Linked DNA regions of Oryctolagus cuniculus. The protein of the gene in region 2 purifies or fractionates together with the protein of the main gene of each other region. This does not show direct contact. Links are inferred from orthologs where the notes say so. Each region holds a gene or a part of one and is shown on either strand. Other genes may lie near its edges.

Region 1 (9,561 bases), on a different chromosome or scaffold from region 2:
GTGGTGGGTGCATGTGTGTGCAGTGGGAGTGGTAGGGAAGGTGACGCTCCTATAGTTTGATCAGAACTTTCTACCAAAAATCTACAGGGGCTTTCTCATTAAAGTTGGGAAAAACAAAGATGACCCCATCGCTGTCACTTTTAAATACAGTTCTAGAGAGGACCTTAGTCAAGACTAAAGAAGAAAATAAGAATATGATTATAAAGGAGGACATAAAAATTATTTTTGGCGGATAATGTGATCATCAACTTAGAAGAACCATTAAAAACAAGAGACTGGCCATTAAAATTAATGTGTAAATTGAGGTTGCCAGTTTTAAAAGGAACTTAGAAATACAGCATTTATTAAATCAGCAATAATTGAGTAGAAAATGCAATTATTTATAATAGTAATAATATTCAAAAAGTACCTAAGAATCTAGAACACTTTAGAGCCCACAAGACAGGGCCAGTGCTGTGGCGTAGCGGGCAAAGCTGCTGTCTGTAGTGCTGGCATCCCACATGGGCGCCAGTTTGAGTCCTGGCTGTTCCACTTCTGATCCAGCTTGCTGCTAATGCACCTGGGAAAGCAGTGGGAGATGGCCCAAGTACTGCCTAGGCCCCTGTACCCACATGGGAGACCCGGAGGAAGCTTCTGGCTCTGGCTTCAGCCTGGCCCAGCCCCATCCATTGTAGCCATTTGGGGAGTGAACCAGCAGACGGAAGATATCTCTCTCTCCCCTTCTTTCTCTATCTCTGCCTAAAAAAAAGAAAAAAAGCAAAAAGGAGTACGCAAGGCTAGAATGAAAAATACTTCAAAACTCTAATAAAGAATATAGAAGATCTGAGTAAGTGATGAGATGCGTCATGTCCCTGAATGTAGTGAAAATACTATAAAGAGGTCTGATTTCCCTCAACTCTTTGAGAAACCCAAAAACTTATGCTAGAGTTTATATGGAGGAATAATGGGCCATAAATCACTTCTTCTAAAGAAGATTGGGGCTTGGGGAACTGCTCTGCCAAATATTAAAGTGTATGTGGGTTAAGAACAGTCAAATATGCTAATGTATGCAGTAAAGATTATACAGATCAGCAGGGAAAAGAAAAATAAAAAAAAAACCTTAGCTAATCACATAAGGATGGATTCCAAATGAATTGAAGATACAAATACAAGAAAGGTTAAAACTGTATAGTTAGTACAGGAAAATATCACATGGTCAGAGGTGAAGAAGGCCTTTAAACAAAACTTCAGAACCATTAACCAAAAGGCTAAACAAATGATGAATTTGATTTCATCAAGATAAGGATTTCTGCTTAGTGAAGGAGATCCTGACAAAGTTCATCTATGACAGCAGTGTCTGTAATCAATAAGAAATTAATATCTCCAGTATGGAAATCAACAAAAAGACAGGAACTCCTGTTTAAAAAAGAAAAAAACACAAAGGAGCCGGATTTATGGTGCAGCAGGTTAAGCTGCTGCCTGGGAGGCTGGCATCTCATGTCAGCACTGGGTCAGGTCCTAGCTGCTCCACTTTCAGTGCAGCTCCCTGCTGATGCATCTGGGAAAGCAGTGGATGATCGCTGACAACCTGGGCCCCTGTGAGCCGTGTGGGAAACCCAGATGGAGTTCCAGGCTCCAGATTTTGACCTGGCTCAGCCCTGGCTATCGCAGCCATTTTGGGAGTGAACCAACAGATGAAAGATCTCTTTCTCCCTTTGTCTCTCCCTTTCTCTCTGTCCTTCTGCCTTTCAAATAAATTAAAAATGAACCTTAAAAAAAGGGCAAAGTATGTCAGCAGGTTGTTGTGGATATCGAAGAGCTATCAAACATTATTAATAAGGAAAGAAATGCACTTACATACTGAGATATCACTGCGCCCTCATTAGACTGGCAACACATAGAAGCTTGGAATGCTCCGTGCCCACGGAGGTGGGGACAAGGGACTCCATGCTTCACCGTTGGGAGGGATGGTACAGCTACTCTGGAGAAGAGTTGTAGCTCCCTGCCACATTTAGAGTACACATACACTGCAGCTGTGGCCTGGACGTAGCCTAAGGAAATTCTCACTTGGGGGTGGTAGGGGGGTGGCATGCATTCATTGAAGCACTATATGCAGTAATCAGCAGTTGGTGGACACCCTAGGCATCCATTCTGGGAGAGTGGGGAGGTAAAATCAGGTGTGTATACACATGGAATATTGTATCATTAGAAGCTGCTGATTTTTTAAAAATTGTGTTTAAAAATTTTTCAACTTATTTATATGAAAGTCAGAGAGAGCGAGCGAGCTCCTGTCTATTCATTCAGTCCCCAAATGCCTTCAACTACCCATGCTGGGCCAGGCCAGCTGGGAACCAGGAACTCAATAGAGTGGAGGGCAGGGACCCAACTACTAGAGTCATCCCCTGCTGACTCCCAGCTGCCAGCTACAACTGGGAACAGTCAGGACTTGAACCCAAGTATTCCAGTATGGCATGTGGGCATCTCAAGCAGTCTGAATTACTATACCAAGTGCTTTCCCCTAGAAGCTATCAATTAGATGCACTGTACACACAGAAACCTCGTTGGTTCATAGTAATATAGTGCTGAATGAAAAAAAAAACCAGAATGAGATATAAATTAAAAGTACACAGTAGGGGCTGACATTGCAGTGTGGTGATAAGGCCATGGCCTGCAACGCCAGCACCCCATGTCAGCACCTGTTTGTGTCCCAGTTGCTGGGTGTCCTATCCAGCTCTCTGCTGCTGGCTGGGAAGAGCAGAAGATGGCCTAAGTGTTTGGGCCTGGCCCAGCCCTGGTCATTGCAGCCATCTGCAGAGTAAACCAGCAGATGGATGACCTCTCTCTCACTATCTCTCTTTTTCTCTAATACTGACTTTCAAATAAATCTTTTTTTTAAAAGTACACAATTTAACAAACAATAGAGTTTGTGGGAACAAATAAAATGGAACAGTTGCCCTGTAAGCAAGGAGGAAAATGGAAGGGAGGCAAGTGGATAAAAACAAAATAGAAAATGGAAGAATTAGAAGCGGAACAAGGAACTTTTGAAGTGTTCCTAATGGTCTGTAAACCTGAGTTGGATTGAATGAGAGATGAAGATCAATACGAAGAACATCCTCCGTAATAACTGCTTTGTTTTCCAATTTACATAGGGTTGAAGCTTTGAGAGAAGCTGCCAGTGCTGTTGAGCAAGAGAAAGAAATCCTTCTGGAAATGATCCACAGTATCCAAAATAGCCAGGACATGAGGCAGATCAGTGACGGTGAGCGCCATTTCCACTGAAGGGGGCTTGTCTTCAAGGGGTGTGTGTGAAGTGTGGGCAGCTTGTACTTGACTTCTGGCGTGTGTACTCTAGGCTTCAGCATTTATTGCATGCTGCAGAGAGCAGCTGTAGCTGTCAGTTTGTAGAAATGCCACTTCCCCAGAGATCACTCCCAGCATGCTCGCTGTGCCGCAGCATGGAGCGAACGGCAAAGCCCTACCAGCTGCAGGACTGGCCCCAAGCTTGAAGCCACCTGTTCACCACAGTTCCACATTCTAACTTTGGTGCTTGTAAGTTACTGGACCGCAGGAAAGGTGAGAGCAGAAGCAAAAGGTGAGGAGTGGAAGCAGGGAAGTAAAGAAGCAGAGATGAACTGAGGTGTGACTTAAAGAGAGGAAATGCAAACAAAATGCAGAGAAAAGGTTACATTATGGGGCTGAAAAAGCCCACTTATGTCTCAGAATGTGCGATCATTTTCGTATGAAGAGCATGAGTATGGAGGAATGGGTCACTTGGGATTTTTTTCATTGGCACTGGACTCCCTACTTGGCGCTCCACAGGATAAATTGTGGGCCAGGTAGCTGGTGAGAATGTGAACAGTCTAAGTCCAGCCACAGCTGTTCCACAGCTACTGGGGCTCACGGTCTGGTCTGCCCTTCAGCTTCCTGAGCAAAGTCAATGAAGGACAACCAGGTGGCTTTTACCCAAGATTAACAACAGAGCTCTTTTGACCATCATTGATTGCCTCCTTGTGCTAGCCAAGACTGAGATCAAGGGCCTGCTTATCTCTGCCTGCAGGGGATGGAGCCACGGCCCCAGCCATGGCCCACTTCTGAGGCCAGCTTATCCTCCACTCCCATTATTACTTTTTTTCAGGCAAAATTTGGGGCAAAATATTCTGATTAGCATGCACATTTATTCTAGAATCTCAGACAATTCATCAGTCTTATATGTGTTATAGTTTCAGCTTTTAACTCTAAAACATTTCATAGCAGAAGTGCTTATAGAAAATAAATTTAGCCACACGTGCCTCAGTGTTCTTCACGGTTAAGTCTGTCTCTCATATTGATGACATTTCAAAACTGTTTCTGTCTAGGAGAAAGAGAAGAATTAAATCTGACTGCAAACCGCTTGATGGGACGAACCCTCACTGTTGAAGTTTCAGTAGAAACAATTCGAAACCCACAGCAGCAAGAATCCCTAAAACATGCCACAAGGATTATTGATGATGTGGTCAATAAGTTTCTGGATGATTTGGGAAATGCTAAGAATCATTTAATGTCACTCTACAGTGCCTGCTCGTCTGAGGTGCCACCAGGGCCAGTTGATCAGAAATTTCAGTCCATAGTAATCGGCTGTGCTCTTGAAGATCAGAAGAAAATTAAGAGAAGATTAGAGACTCTGCTTAGAAACATTGAAAACTCTGACAAGGCCATCAAGCTGTTAGAGCATTCTAAAGGAGCTGGTTCCAAAACTCTGCAACAAAATGCCGAAAGCAGATTTAATTAGTCCTTAAACCTAAGAGCATTTACAAATAACGATGTAGGAATGGTAAAGTACTATTTTAAGTGAAAACTAGTTCTTTATGTTAGACATAACCACTTATTTGATACGGATAGTTGTTTCGGATGAGGAAAGTATTTCCAGTGCCATCAGTTTTGTGAATACCAATTAAAACTAGAACTATTTTAATTATCTAGAAGTTTTTATATAGAATTCTTGTACTAGGATCTAGCACATTACTTCTGTGTTTTTCCTGTTCTGTGTATGAATACAAAGTATGGCGTGGGGGACAGTAAGTACTGAGCTGGGGGCAAAGCCACCGCTGCTCTTTCCCAGGCTTTCCCTGTCAAGGAACTACTTTCCCTGTCAAGGACCTGGGGCATCTGCCTCGGCGTGCTTTCCCTTGGGCAGCACACAGCGTACTGCTTCCCTAGTGTTAGCTCAGCCCTGCTTAGCGGGACGAAAGGAATCACACAACAAGAGGCTTTCCCTACATTTTCCCATTCAGTTGTTTTTTAAGGCATCTGTAACCAAATTATTCTGAACTTTTGTGCACCTCATAATATGTGGATAATATGTGGTTTGTGAACATGACAAAGTATGAGAGCGTCACCTGTAATTTTACCACTGTGATCAATACTATATCCATTCATCTTCTCTCAGATGCATAACTTCTCTAAAATTACAGTGTTGTAACTTGGTTGTCCTTAAGTTAAATGCTGCTAGTAGGTCTGCCTACTTGTCACTTGAAAAGCTCTGTTTTGTGCAGTTGTACAACAGTTCACTTACCTGCTTCCCTCTTATTGAACATTTAGGTTGTTTCCGCTTTGTTGCCATTACTGCAGCAGATTATGTACATAAAGCTTTATCATTCTTTCTTTTTTTTACTTTCTTGGTATAAATCCCAGCAGTGGATTTATTGGGTCAAAGGGTATACACATTTTCATGGCCTGACACACATTTCCAAATGTTTTGTATCAGTTCTATCAATTTATACTATCTTTAGTAATTAAAATGTAGCCATTTCACCGAAATTGGTCCAACATTGAGCATTAAACTTTTTCTAACGTTAGATATAAAACACCTTGATGTAGTTTGCTTTTTATTTACTAACAAGGTCAACCATTGTACTGATTATCTGTGGAATGAATCGAAACTATAGAACACATGTGTTCAAAGTAGTTAATGCTATCGATATACAAAAACCTCAACAACTACCCTCAAAACAACTTTGAAATGAATACACTGAACGGCTTTCATTAGGATGTAGGTATTCCTCACACTAAAAAACACAACTCACAATACACTTGATTAGATGCAAGCAGTGCTGGGCTTCTCTGCACAGAGATGCCAAGTTAGTCCCTCTTTATATAAAGCAATTACAATCTGAGAGTATTCATGGTTGCTTTCTGTGCTGTCCCTAACTATGCCTCATTTAAATCTTTTCATTCCATGGAAACACTGGTTCTATCTACGGCTTGCCAGCAGGCTATTTGCTATCATTAGGCTCACTGTCAGATGAAGATTTTGTGTGCCATCTTTTTCTTTCCCAGCTTTTTGAGATTTAAGAAATGGACAGCTAAGTTTTTCTCTGGGTTCTCAAGTGTCGCAGCATCTGTATTAGCCTCGGTTCTGGGAAGTACATCCCTCCCCATCGCCCACTCACCAGGCCTGGACTTTTCCTGCCACAAAATAGTCTCTGGCTCGTGATCCCTGTATCCTGTGCATGGTTCCTTTCTCATTTTCTCTGCTGTGGCATTTTATGGGAAGCTATTCTTTTCTTACCATAGAAGAGAGCTGCATTCCACCATTCCCAAGCTGCCTGGGGTTCACGCCCTGTCTCCAGCCTCCAGAGTGAGCACAGCTAGGAGTCAAGGACCTTTATGTGTTTTAATTATCTTTTTTTAAAAATGTATTTTATTTAAAAGGCAGGGCTACAGAGAGGGAAAGACAGAAATCAACCTTCCATCCACTGGTTCACTCTCCAGATAGCAGCAACTGCCAGGGCTGGGCCAGGCTAAAGCCATGAGTTTTTTCCAGGTCTCCTGCGTGGGTGGCAGGTGCCCAAGCACTTGGGCCACCCTCTGCTGCTTTTCCCAGGCAGTTAGCAAGAAGCTGGATTGGAAGTGGAGCAGCCGGGACTCAAACTGGTGCCCATATTAGATGCCAGCATCACAGGCAGTGGCTTTACTTGCTACGCCACAATGCCAGCCCCACAGGCAGTAGCTTAATCCACTTCACTGCAGTGCTGATCCCCATTTTCTTTTAATTAAAAAATTATTTTATTCTTCAGAGAGACCTCCAGTCTGCTGGTTCACTCCACAAATGCCTGGGAGTGAGGAAGTCAAACCAGGTTTCCTGCGTGGGTGACAGAGAGCCAGTTCCTTGATGTGCATCAGCAGGGATCTGGAATCGGCAGAGCTGAGGTTTAAATCCAGGCACTCTAGAGACATGCAGCCTTCCCCAGCAGCATCTTAACTGCTGTGCCAGACGTCCTGTCTGGATTCTTAACAGATTTTTCTTTATAAAATTAGAAATACAATTTATTTTTAAATAATGAAACTCCCCAAGAATGACAGTTTGGCCCTCATTTAAACGATCATATTTTCTATAGATTATAGTTAGGTCATAAGGGCATTTAGAGTATGTGTCTTCCCTACTCAAACTCTACTGTTCCTAGCATGTAATGTACAGTTTGCGGCTAGCCTGCTTCCCGGCACTGTTCCCATCCCTTCGCTGCCTCTTCTGAGGCCTGGTCTGCCTTCACGCTGAAGGACAGGCTCCCTGACGTGTGAAGGCCCGCAGGACGTGCAGAGGAACTGACAGCACTGAGTTCACCAGTGGAGAACAGAGTGAAAATCCAGCCCAGTGAAAAGTACAGAATTGACCTTCATGATTTTTTTTTTTTTTTTTTGACAGGCAGAATTAGACAGTGAGAGAGACAGAAACAGAAAGGTCTTCCTTTTTCCATTGGTTCACCCCCAAAGTGGCCGCTACGGCTGGCGCTTTGTGGCCAGTGCGCTGCGCTGATCCGATGGCAGGAGCCAGGAGCCAGGTGCTTCTCCTGGTCTCCCATGGGGTGCAGGGCCCAAGCACCTGGGCCATCCTCCACTGCACTCCCGGGCCACAGCAGAGAGCTGGCCTGGAAGAGGGGCAACCGGGACAGAATCCCACACCCCGACTGGGACTAGAACCCGGTTGTGCCAGTGCTGCAGGTGGAGGATTAGCCTAGTGAGCCGTGGCGCTGGCCTGTGATGTTTTAACTTAGGGTCCCTGACATTAAAAAAAAATAATAATAAAGCTTACAGGAGTGGGCAGGACCCACAGTAGTGAATGAACTACTGACTTCCAGTGTTGTAAACTCCACAGTGGACACCATCCTCAGTGTATCCTATGTGAGCAGCCTAAGACATTAGCCAAGTGAGATGCTTTTGTTTTTAAGAATTTATTCAAAAGGCAGAGTTAGACGGAGAGGCAGAGAGAGATCTTTCATTGGCTGGTTTCACTCCCTTTGCAAATGGCTGCAAGAGCCAGGGCTGGGCCAGGACAAAGCTGAGTCAGCAGCTTCATTCAGGTCTCCCACATGAGTTGCAGGGGCCCAAGCACTTGGGCCGTCTTCCATTGCCTTCCCAGGCACACTGGCAGGGAGTTGGATCAGAAATGGGGCAGCCAGGACTTGAACAAGCACCCGTATAGGATACAGTGGCTCAACCTGCTGCAATACAGTGCTGGTCCCAAAATGAGGTATGATGCATACCTCCTAACAGTATGCTATGGGGGCTGGTGCTGTGGCACAGCGGGTTAATGCCCTGCCCTGAAGCGCTGACATCCTATATGGGTGCCAGTTCAAGACCTGGCTGCTCCACTTCCTATCCAGCTCTCTGTTATGGCCTGGGAAAGCAGTGGAAAATGGCCCAAGTCCTTGGGCCCCTACACCCGCGTGGGAAACCCAAAAGAAGCTCCTGGTTCCTGGCTTCGGATTGGCTCAGCTCTGGCCATTGCAGTCAATTGGAGAATGAACCATCGGATGGAAGACCTCTCTCTCTATTGCCTCTCCTCTCTCTGTGTAATTTTTTCAAATAAATAAATAAATCTAAAAAAACCAGTAGGCTATGGACAGTATATTAAAGACATAACAGTGAGTAGAGGCTTGGTTCTTGTTCCATCTAGCATCTGGTTGCACTAAAGAGGTTATCATCTAATGGAAAATTCTGCCTCAACATTTTAAAATTGGAAAGCATGAAAGAACTCGACACAGAAGCAGCAGAATAATGATTTGGTAAACTAAAAAAGGCCCAATGATTTAAACTAGGAAACATCTGTTTATTCATCCCTTTCAAATTATCAGCTGTCAGAAATGCTAACATAACTGATGTGATGCTATTTTTGAAGGTTGGTTTTTACAGTTACTCAGAAACATTAAAAGAACTGAGATTCTTGGCTAAGACAGGAACATGAGTGAGCCTGGGCTTAACCTCTGTGTGGGGGTGTTAGTGTGTGCCTGTGCGTCTGTGCATACAGAGCAAGCAAAGTGAAAATGGACAAAACCCAAAGCACAGGACAACACTGCAGGCACGAGCTGCCATCCTTGCCTCTTACCAGCAGAGGGCCTCATGTCACACAATGTGCCCCTTAAGCCCTGGCCTCCCCAACAGTAAAATAGAAGGAAAAATGCTCCTACAAATACCATATGGTCTCTGATCTGTGGTAACTAAAATACTTAAAATGTAATCTATAGGAGCGAAACTGACACCTTGAGATGTGATGATTTTGAACAGCCCTGTCAGGTGAATAATGTTTCTTTTTGGTTTTGTTTTTTT
Region 2 (10,430 bases):
AAAAATGAATGCCGATTACAAACTTAGGTAATTAAATTCCCTAATAGATTTTAAACTACATCTTCCAGAGTAGAATCGCTGTTAAAATTCTCCAACACCTGGAACCCCCAACTAAAGAGACTCACACCCCTTGGCTGGCACCGCGGCTCACTAGGCTAATCCTCCGCCTGCGGCACCGGCACACCGGGTTCTAGTCCCGGTCGGGGCGCCGGATTCTGTCCCGGTTGCCCCTCTTCCAGGCCAGCTCTCTGCTGTGGCCCCGGAGTGCAGTGGAGAATGACCCAAGTCACCCCATGGGAGACCAGGAGAAGCACCTGGCTCCTGGCTTCGGATCAGTGCGGTGTGTGGGCCGCAGCGCACAGGCCACAGCAGCCATTGAGGGGGTGAACCAATGGAAAAAGACCTTTCTCTCTGTCTCTCTCACTGTCCACTCTGCCTGTCAAAAAAAAAGAGAGAGACTTACACCCCTAACGAGCATAATTTCTTTTTTTTTTTTTAAGATTTATTTATTTATTTGAAAGTCAGAGTTACACCCCCCACCGCAGGCTGTGAGCGTGGACGGCCGGGCCCCAGATGGAGCCCCGTGGCTCTCTAAGGGATAGTTCCTGAAGGATAATCACCATCGTCTCACTCCTTGAAGCTTACGGCACAGCGCCTCGCTTCGCCAATTCACCAGAGTAGAGCACTATTTTTAAACACTGGATTAATTTACTTGAGTGACAGAGTGAGCTCCCGTCCACTGGGTCACTTCCCAAGTGGGGCCCAAAGCCAGGAGCACAGAGGTCAACCCAGGTCTCCGATTCAGGCAGCCGGACACCAACTACTTAAGCCATCAGTGTGGCCTCTCAGGGTGGGCATTGGCAGACGCCAGGGGTCCGGAGCCAGGCACCAGACCCAGGCACTGAAATCAGGAATGACCCCTAAAATTCACACAAAAATATGGCCCCGTAAAGTCCCCCAGAAGCGCTATCTGGGGTGCCACGTATGCTACCGGAATTTGGGGTGCCGTACGATTTCACCATACGCTTTTTACTAAATCCCCAACATTTATAAGCCCGAGAGGGCTCTTGCCCAATATTTAGAGAAGAATTCTAAATACCGGCACAGATAAACGAGGCAGCACGGCACATTTTAGGCCTTTATTTAGTGTGAAAGATGCGTAGGAGAGTGGGAGCTTTATTAAGGGAGAGGGGTAAATCTGGGTTCACACGAGCACCAGGAACCAGCCACGAGGAGGAGCACCTGGGCCAGGAAGCCTGAGGGGTGGCCCGAAGGCCACGCGCCCTGGAGGCGCAGGGCTACAGCGAGCCCCTCCTGGCGAGAGGCCAGGGCAGAAGAGAAGAGGGCCGGACACACCGTGTCCCAGGCTTTAACCCACTTCCAAAGGGGAGTGGTTAATTACCCTGATTGGCTGGTGGGCGCCCAGGTGTGGCCAGGTGGGGGGATGAGGTCACACAGGGGCGTGGCGAAGGCGTGGTCTTCCAGCTCACAGACCTAATCGATTTTAACCTGTAGGCCTGCCTACTTCAGTACCACCTCAGGGGGCTCCAGCAGCAGCCAGCGGCCCGCCTGCCCGCGAGGTCACCACCCCAACAGCCGCGCCCCGCGTTCCCCAGTGAGCAGGATTGGCCAGCCAGCTCGGCAGAAGCTGGGGTTGTGAGGACCCCGACGGGTTAACAGGCGGTCAGGGCGGTCCCAGAGGAAGTTAGGGTGGTGGAGTGCATGCACCCCCCCCAAGGCAAGAACCAAAAGCCCGCCCTCCTACCGAGGAATCTCCAAATTTACCATGAGAATAGGGAGGGAGTGGTGGCACGGTTGATGGTGAAAACATGTGGCCCACCCCACCCTGAGCGAGCCAGCCCACAGCTAGGTTTCCAATCAGGACCTTTGTCCCCGCCCTGTAACTGAACGCCAAGATGATTGTCAAGTTCTTTTGTTTTCCAAAATTAAGCTTAAAAACCCCAAGTGCCGCGGGGGCCTCTGACAGCCCCCTCTGTGCCACCCTGGCTGGAGGCCTCTTTCTGATCAACCTCGCTTTTAAATCCAGACGCCTGGGGGCTCTTCCACTTGAGACCAAGAACCGCGGCAGCAGTACGCTCTCCGCCGTCACGTCCCCGCACGGGGAGCACCGTTAAACAGGACATTGAAGTATTCCTGGGGGCGGGTGGTACCGTGCTGGGGTGACCACAGTGCTGGCTCCCGTGCCCAGGGAACCAGCGGGAGATGGCCCGGGTGCTCGGGTCCCTGCATCCACGTGGGAGACCCAGACGGAATTCCTGCTTCCTGGCTTTGGCCTGGCCCAGCCTTGGCACTGCAGCCCTCAGGGGAGTGACCCCGCAGATGCAGGCTCTCTATCCCCCCGCCCCCATCATTGTCTTTCAGTCTTGCAGGAGGCACCTTTAGGAGTTTCTCAAGGCCCAGGGTTTTTTCTTACTGGGAGGAGGAGACTGGGGGTGGGTGGCTGGGGGGGGGGGGGTGTTTACCTCCCGCTCCAAACTGAAGCCCTCCCAGAATTCCAAACTGCTTTTTAGAGAATTCTAGGCACAGGCTCAACCACGGCCTGCATCGTGGTTACACACAGGTACACGTGGGCTTCATGTAGGGAGTGGACAGGGAAAGGTAAGAAGGGGGATGTTTTTAATTGTTTTTTAGAGTTTTTATTTATTTATTTGAAAGGCAGACTTACAGGGAGGCAGAGAGAGAAAAATCCTCCATCCACTGGTTCATTCCCCGAATGGCGGGAGCTGGCCCGATCTGAACCAGGAGCCTGGAGCTTCTTCCGGGTCTTGCACGTGGGTGCCCAAGGACTTGGGCCATCCTCCACTGCTCTCCCAGGCCACAGCAGAGAGCTGGACTGGAAGTGGAGCAGCCGGGACTAGAACTGGCGTCCACGTGGGATGCCGACACTGCAGGCGGCGGCTTTACCCGTTATCTGGAAGGGGAACTCCACACCCCGGGTAAGGGGAAGGGATGGGTCATCTGATTAGGGATAGGATGACCAGCAGGTGGGCCTCCAGCTCAGGAACTCAACCCATCGCCCCAACTCCCCACTTCACCACCTTCCCCAGGCCCCCACCGCCCCGCGCTGACGCCCGGTCTCCCACCTCCCTCTTGAAAATGTATCACCACCCCTGCTCCAGCACACACACTGGGCTTTTTTTTTTTTTTTTAAGATTTTTACTTATTTCTTCGGGAGGCAGTCACAGAGACATAGAAAGGACTTCCATCCACTGGCTCCCTCCCCAAATGGCCACAAGGGCAGGAGCCAGGAGCTTCTTCCGGTCTCCCACGCGGCTGCAGGGGCCCAAGCACTTGGGCCATCCTCCACTGCTTTGGGCTGGAAGAGGAGCAGCTGGGACTTGAACTGGCATCCTCACGGGATGCCGGCGCCTCACGCAGAGGCTTAGCCTGCTCCACCACAGCCCGGCCCCCACCAAGGGAGTTCTGAGCCCACCGTGACCCCTGACAGGGGACAGCATGTCCAGGCACATTCCGTGAACTGACAAGTGCCTACTGCGGGCTGGACTCTGGGAAAGAGGCTCCAGGCCGTCCGGGGCCTCCCGGACCGCGGCACCCACGCCCACGTCGCCCCTCTGGTGGGGCTCACGCCCAGCCCAGCGCCGGCAGAGCCATGTACCGGGTGCCTGCCGGGGGCGGCACCGCAGCCTGGAGATGGCAGGGCCGCGGGAAGCGGGAACCACGAGGGGACCGGCGGAGGGAGGCAGGCTGGCCCGACACTGAGCGAGCCGCACCCCAAAGCCTGCACAGGGAGGGGTCTGCCGAGAGGCCACCGGCACAGGCGGGACACGGACCCGCGTTCAGCGGCAAAGAGCAAGAGACAGCGCCCACGCCACCCCGAGCTGGTTCCCTCCCCCAGAGCCCCTGCAGCTGGGACTGAGCCAGGCCCAAGCTGAGAGGGGAGTCCACCTGGTCCCACGCGCGGGCGCCTGCTACCCCAGGGCGCGCGTTCGCGGGGCGTGGGTGCGGCGCTGGGCCTCGAACCTGCAACTAGCTGGGATGTGGCGGGGCCCCGGGCGGTCCTCGCGCGAACCCATCCAGTTCCCCGAACCACACACGGGGCCTGCACGCAGAAGCACCCACCGAACCCAGACTCATCTCTCTCCCGCCTTCCCCACCCCACCCCCTGGGGCTGGACCCCCGGCCGCGGCCTCCAATGCCCGCGTCCGGCCCAAGCCACGGCGCCTTCTCGGCCACGGCGCAATTCGGGGAGACCCAGGGTCTAACAGGTGGGCCGAAGCCGGAGGCGCAAACGCGGGCACTGGCGCTCACGGGCCGAGCCGCTCTCCCGGCGCCGGCGCAGACAGTCGCGCCCCAGGCCCACGCGAGGACAGGGTCGTCTCGGCCGGAGGCAGCCGCAGTCCCCAGAGCCCCGGCAACTGGGCGTTCAGGGCAGCCCCGAACTCCCACAAACCACCGGCGGGGCGACACCCGGCACCCGCTCTTTGACGGGCAGCCGTTTAAACCTATCAACGCAAAGTGTTGGCAAGTCTCCGCCCAATTGAAATTTTTTTTCTTGTGAAGGCGGTTCCTTCATGGAGTCTGGCAGCCCAATGGGAAAGGTGGAAATTTCCAGAAAGAACAGAACCAATGGGCGCTGCCAGCTCGACCGCGATTGACAAACCAACCAGCCAATCCTAGTCGCAGACGTACGCCCCTCCCTCCATCCACAGGGCCTGAGATGGGCGGGGATTGCCCGAGAGAGCCAATCAGGAGGTGCGGGGAAGGCCGGGTTGACGGGATTACTGGTCTCCGACCAATGAAAGAAAAGCGAAAATGATAGGCTGGACTTCAAGCCAATTGCAGAGGAGCAGAGGGAGCCCCCTAGAGGCGCTCGGCCAGTGAGCAGGCGAGGAAGAGGCGGGAGCCGGGGTCCTGGCATCTTCTAGTAGGTTCCAGAAGGCGGCGCGTGCGGCTGGGAACGCGGAGCGGACGGGTTCGATTCAACGGGGTTCCGGGCCGGACTATGGAGCAGGTGAAGGGGGAGGGGCGGGCTGTGCCCGAGACGGCTCGGGCACCGGCCGAGGCTGGGCCCGGCGGAGTGGCGGGGCGGGCACCGGCTCGGGGCGGCCGGGGCCGGGGCCGGGCTGTCGGCGGCGGGAGGCGAGGGCGTGAGGGCCGCGGCCTGAGGGCAGGCCGGCGGCCGCCCGTGGCGGGGCCGGGCCGCGGGGAGCGCGGGCCGCCGGGGGAGGCCTGAGTTGGGCGTGAGGCCTCCCGAGAGGTGGCTGCAGGCCGAGCCGCGGGTGGGCGAGGGGCAGGAGCCGCGGCCGGGGGAGGTCGCGGCCTGGGCGGGCAGCGACTGGGGACGGGGAAGCCGCCCCGGACGGTGACCTCGGGGAAAGCCGGGAGCGGGGACGGGAGCGCTGGGAGTGCCGAGGGACTTTGCAGCCTGGGGTCCCCGGGGGCAGGAGAGGCCTCCCTGGCTGCGTCGAGGTCGGGGTCCGGGCGGCCGGCGGCGGGGACGAGTGCCCTCCGGCCGGCGTCTCGCGGGTCCGTGTGCGACGTGCGGCCGCAGCCCGAGAAGTCGGGGTCTGACCGCGCGGGGAGGCGTCCCCAGCCGTGGACCTGCGGCGTTGGAAGCGATGCCCACGGGGGCCTGCAGGTGCGCGCGAGACCTCGCGAGGCGGCTGCCGTGGGGCCGCGGCCACTGACGGTGGAAAAAGCGGGGAGCCGGGCGCCGTGGCCTGGGGAGGGCCCCTGCAGCGGGGGCCTTTGTTCTGGCGCGGTGGGCAGGGCTGGAGCGGCCCGTGCGCGGCCGGGACCGAGGTGCCCCGTGCTGACCTGGAGCGGGACGGGGAGAGGGTGGTGCCCGTCTCGGGCCTCCGTAGTGTTGTGTCCGGGGCGAGGCAGGCCGGCGTGGGCCAGCGCGGGGACTGGAAGCCCTTGGTCTGTTGGTGTAGAAGCGGCCGTCGGTGCTGTGGGCGGTTCTCCTGGGCCGCCCACTGCGGGCCCATTACGGGCGGACTGCAGCCTAAGCCGGGGGTCCTGCCGCCCGCGCTCGCGCCCAGGTGCGCTAGCACCCGCCCCTCCGAGTCCAGGCCCCGAGAGCGCCGGGGGACTGCTCGGCCCTCGGTTTTGGATTTCGGCTGTGAAGTCCGTCCTGCAGTTAGACCTCAGAGCGGACAAGTTAGAGTCAGGGGCGGCGGGAGGGAGCGCCCACCCGCCGGCTCACCCCCGCGTGGCCCTAAGGCCAGGGCTCCCACGCGGGGGCAGAGCCCAAGCACGAACCAGCAGGGCTGCCGTGTTGCAGGCAGCTTAACCCTCCACCCCACAGCCCTGCCCCGTGGGTGTCTAAAACAAGGACCTTTCTCGTCTCAGGGTACACTGTACTTTTAGAAAGAAAAGAGGTTTATTTGCTTGTTCGAAAGGCAGAGTTGTATGCACTGGGAGACACAGAAATATCTTCCATCCACTGTCCCACTCCTCCAGTAGCCACAGTGGCGGGGACTGGGCCAGGCCAAGGCCAGAAGCTGGAAACCCTGCCCGGGGCTCCCACACTGCTGGCGGGCCCATCTCTGCTTTTCCAGGTGCATTCGCAGGGCGCTGGCCTGGGAGTGGAGCGGCCGGGGCTGGAACCAGAGCCCAGGAGAAGCTGGTGTTGCACACAGCGGCTTAGCCTGCTGCACCGCCCCTGGCCGCAGGCTTGCACATCCGACCAGGGCGCGCATCCCGCTGTGGGAAGTCAGAGAGGCAGAGAGAGGTCTTCATCCGCTGGTTCACTCCCCAGATGGCCACAGCGGTCGGAGCTGCACCGATCTGAAGCCAGGATCCCCCTCCGGGTCTCCCACACGGATGCAGGGCCCCAGCACTGGGGCCATCTTCCACTGCTTTCCTAGGCCACAGCAGGGAGCTGGATCTGAAGAGGAGCAGCCGGGACTAGAACTGGTGCCCTGTGGGCTGCTGCACTGCAGGCAGCGGCTTTACCCGCTACGCCACAGCACCAGCCCCTGTGTGACACGCGTGAAGCGGTGTTTGCGGTCCTGTGTGCTGGCACCCCTTCCGCGGGATGTGCTGGAACGCTGGTCCTGACCTAGAGGATTGTGCCGCAGCTCAGTCCTTGCATGGAAACTGCTTTTCCTCGCGTGGTCAGGACCTCACCAGGCTTCCTCAGCTGCCCCTGGGCACCAGTTTTTTTTTTTTTTTTTTAAGATTTATTTAAATTTATTTGATAAGAGTTAAAGAGAGAAGTAGAAGCAGAGTTAGCGGTCTTCCATCCGCTGGTTCACTCCCCAGATGGCCACAGCGGCCAGAGCTGAGCCCAGCTGAAGCCAGGAGCTGGGAGCTTCTTCCCACGTGGTGCAGGGGCCCGAGGACTTGGCCCATCCTCCACTGCTCTCCCAGGCCACCGCACAGAGCATCAGAGTGGAGCAGCTGGGGCTCGAACCGGCGCCCATCTGGGATGCCAGAGCTGCGGGCAGGCCTTAGCCCGCCGCATCGCGGTGCTGCCTCACCATAGAGTTCTGTGACTTGGCGTTTCCCCTCCCTTGCTGCACTGTTAGGCCTTTTCCTGTCTTCTTCCCTGGCTCTTGCACTCCTTCCTCTTGGAGGGTTCCTGGGTGCTGTGCCCGGAGGGCCCAGAGTCCTTTGTGTTAATGCAGTTTTTTTCTTTTTTTCTAAGATTTTATTCATTTATTTGAGAGGTAGAGTTAGAGACACAGAGAGAGGTCTTGCATCTGCTGGTTCACTCCCCAAACGACCACAATGGCCGGAGCTGGGCGGAACTGAAGCCAGGAGCCACTCTGGGTCTCCCACGCGGGTGCAGGGGCCCGAGGACTTGGGCCATCTTCTGCTGTGCCGGGACACAAACCGGCACCCATGTGGGATGCCGGCGCTGTGGTGGAAGCTTAGCCTACCGCGCCCCAGCGCTGGCCCCTGGTGTGTTTCTGTCGTGGATACCCTGTGGGGGTTGGGGGTGGCATCGAATGGCAGAGTGGTACAGTAACTTTGTGACGTGGCCTGATACCAGGGAATGTGTTGGTATTTTATTTTTTTATTTTTTTACCTTTGAAAGGTAGAGTTAGAGAGGGGTCTTCCATCTGTTGGCTCGCTCCCAGTGGCCGGGCTAGGCCATGCCAAGGCCAGGAGCTTCATCTGGGTCTCCCACGCGGGTGCCGGGGTCCATGTACCTGGACCACCTGCTGCTGCTTTCCCGGCGCGTCAGTGGAGAGCTAGACCAGGACTCCAGGCTGCGCTCTGGCATGCCATGCATTTCAGAGGGAGCTCAGGGTGTGGGCTGCCCGGGGCGGGTGGCCTTCCCCGGGCGGTTCCAGCAAGAAGCCCCTTGGTTAGGACCCTTCTAACCTGGCTTTCTTCGACCCTTTGCTTCTAAGTATTGGCAGGGACGGGAGACCAAAGCAGGGCCTTGGTCTGCGTTCTCCGTCCCCTGTGTGGCCCCGGGGAAGAAGCTAGGGGTCAGCTTTCCCCGTGCAGGACGGCGGTACTGCGCGTGGCCACGTCGCCCTGGCTGAACAGGAGGGGCTGGCAGAGGAGCCCTGACTGGCGTCCTGAGCTCCGGGGAGCTCGCCACAGCCTGCAGGCCCTGCGCCGCGAGTGCTGATCCAGGTGCTGGCTTCCCGCGAGGGGCGGGGCCTGTGCCCGGCGTGTCATGTGGACTGGGAATCTGCCGCGTGGTTCGCTTGTCCGTGGAAGGGCCCCTCCGGGAGCGGCTCCCTCGTCTCCGGGAGACGGGTTAGAGCGGGGCCCGCTCGGCCCTGCCGGCTGCCGGAGGGGTGGATGAAGCTGCTTCCCGTTCTGATGTGATGAGGCTCGGGAAGACCTGGGGGGCTCGGGAAGGCCTGGGGGCGCTGAGCGCGCTGTGCCCACAGGTGAGCGAGCTGAAGGAGAAGGGCAACCAGGCCCTGAGTGCCGGCAACATCGACGACGCCGTGCGGTGCTACTCGGAGGCCATCCGGTTAGACCCCCGGAACCATGTGCTCTACAGCAACCGCTCCGCGGCCTACGCCAAGAAAGGGGACTACCAGAAGGCCTACGAGGACGGCTGCAGGACCGTGGAGCTGAAGCCCGACTGGGGCAAGGTACGCCGGGGCGGCGCTCCAGCTCGTCCGCAGCGAGGCCTGGGCTCCGTCCTCTGTCCTGGGAGAAGGGAGCCGCTGCCGGCCGGGGGCGGGGGGGGGGGCAGTCTCGATCCTCAGCCGGGGCATCCTGTCCTGTTCGTGGCCTAGGTGGAAGTGTCAGTTTGCTGCTTAACTTGTAGATGGGTCTTGAGTCGTCTCTGGGAGTTCACCTCCAGGCTGCTTTATTTTATTTTGTGTTTGTCTTTGCTGGCTCCAGGGCTATTCGAGAAAAGCAGCCGCTCTTGAGTTCTTGAACCGATTTGAAGAAGCCAAACGAACCTACGAGGAGGGCTTGAAACATGAAGCCAGCAACCCCCAGCTCAAAGAGGGCCTGCAGAACATGGAGGCCCGCCTGGCAGGTGGGCGCCGGGCGCGGCTCCTCGCCTGGCCGTGTCCTCGAGTTAGAAGGTAGCCTGCAGGGACGGGTTTCACAGGTGGCTTCGCTGTGTCCCCACAGAGAGGAAGGTCATGAACCCCTTCAACATGCCCCATCTGTACCAGAAGCTGGAGAGCGACCCCAGGACCCGGGCGCTGCTCAGCGACCCCACCTACCGCGAGCTCATAGAGCAGCTGCGGCACAAGCCGTCGGACCTCGGCACGTGAGTAGGGGCGGGGCGGGCGGGCCAGGCCGCGGTTTCTGTCTTAAAGTGGGAGGCGTGGTACAGTCCCCCTGCGCCCCTCACCCCGTTTCCCCATTAACATCTCGATTGGAGTCCCTGTCACAACTGATTAACTATTCCCACTCTCCTGTTTCTTATGCATCCAAAACCTCTCATTCCCTCCCAGCCTCCACCGTTGATTTCTGTTAGAGCAGTGAAGGTTTGTTTATAGCAAGGGTCGGGGAGAGACTGGCGTTGTGTGCAGCAGGTAAAGCTGGCTCCCGTGACGCCAGCGTCTCACGTGGGTGCCGACCGTGTCTGCTGCTCCTGGCTTCAGCCTGGCCCAGCCCTGGCCGTTGCAGCCACCTGGGGAGTGAACCGGTGGATGGAAGACCTCTGTCTCTTCCTTTGTAACTCAGATAACTTTGAGATAAATAAGTCTTTGAAAAAAGGGAGGGGCGGTGGAAGCGTGTGTTACAGTGAGCAGAGTCTCTGCACTCTGCGTGTGGCTCCTCCCCCTGCTCGCAGTTCTGGGCGGGACCAGCTCCATGGTTGCAGGGACACGAGCCCTGCTGCTCCCTGTTGGGATTTTTGCAACAGGAACAGTCACACTGCTGGGGTGATTTGAGGGGTGGGCGTTGTGCTGTAGTGCGGGCACCTTGTGGCACCGGATTAAGTCCTGGGGTCCACTTCCAGTCCCCCTGCCTGCTAATGGCCTGGGAGAGCAGCAGCAGTTGGG

The links.
Region 1: the proteins of STIP1 (region 2) and BAG2 purify together in Homo sapiens (affinity purification with mass spectrometry; 3 studies listed by BioGRID and IntAct, with this or other methods). This does not show direct contact. The link is inferred for Oryctolagus cuniculus from reciprocal best matches to the Homo sapiens genes STIP1 and BAG2.

Annotation. Positions count from the first base shown.
Region 1 is NC_091436.1:112,391,127-112,400,687, reverse strand, and holds the end of BAG2 (BAG family molecular chaperone regulator 2), read left to right. Parts: exon of another isoform or gene 1-550; coding exon of another isoform or gene 551-738; intron 739-3,128; coding exon 3,129-3,238; intron 3,239-4,334; coding exon 4,335-4,747; 3' UTR 4,748-5,822; downstream 5,823-9,561. Other genes in the region: RAB23 (ras-related protein Rab-23), read right to left, coding at 551-738. UniProt on the Homo sapiens protein: Co-chaperone for HSP70 and HSC70 chaperone proteins. Acts as a nucleotide-exchange factor (NEF) promoting the release of ADP from the HSP70 and HSC70 proteins thereby triggering client/substrate protein release.
Region 2 is NC_091432.1:7,108,491-7,118,920, reverse strand, and holds the start of STIP1 (stress-induced-phosphoprotein 1), read left to right. Parts: upstream 1-4,782; 5' UTR 4,783-4,984; coding exon 4,985-4,993; intron 4,994-8,843; coding exon 8,844-9,053; intron 9,054-9,309; coding exon 9,310-9,451; intron 9,452-9,549; coding exon 9,550-9,691; intron 9,692-10,430. UniProt on the Homo sapiens protein: Acts as a co-chaperone for HSP90AA1. Mediates the association of the molecular chaperones HSPA8/HSC70 and HSP90.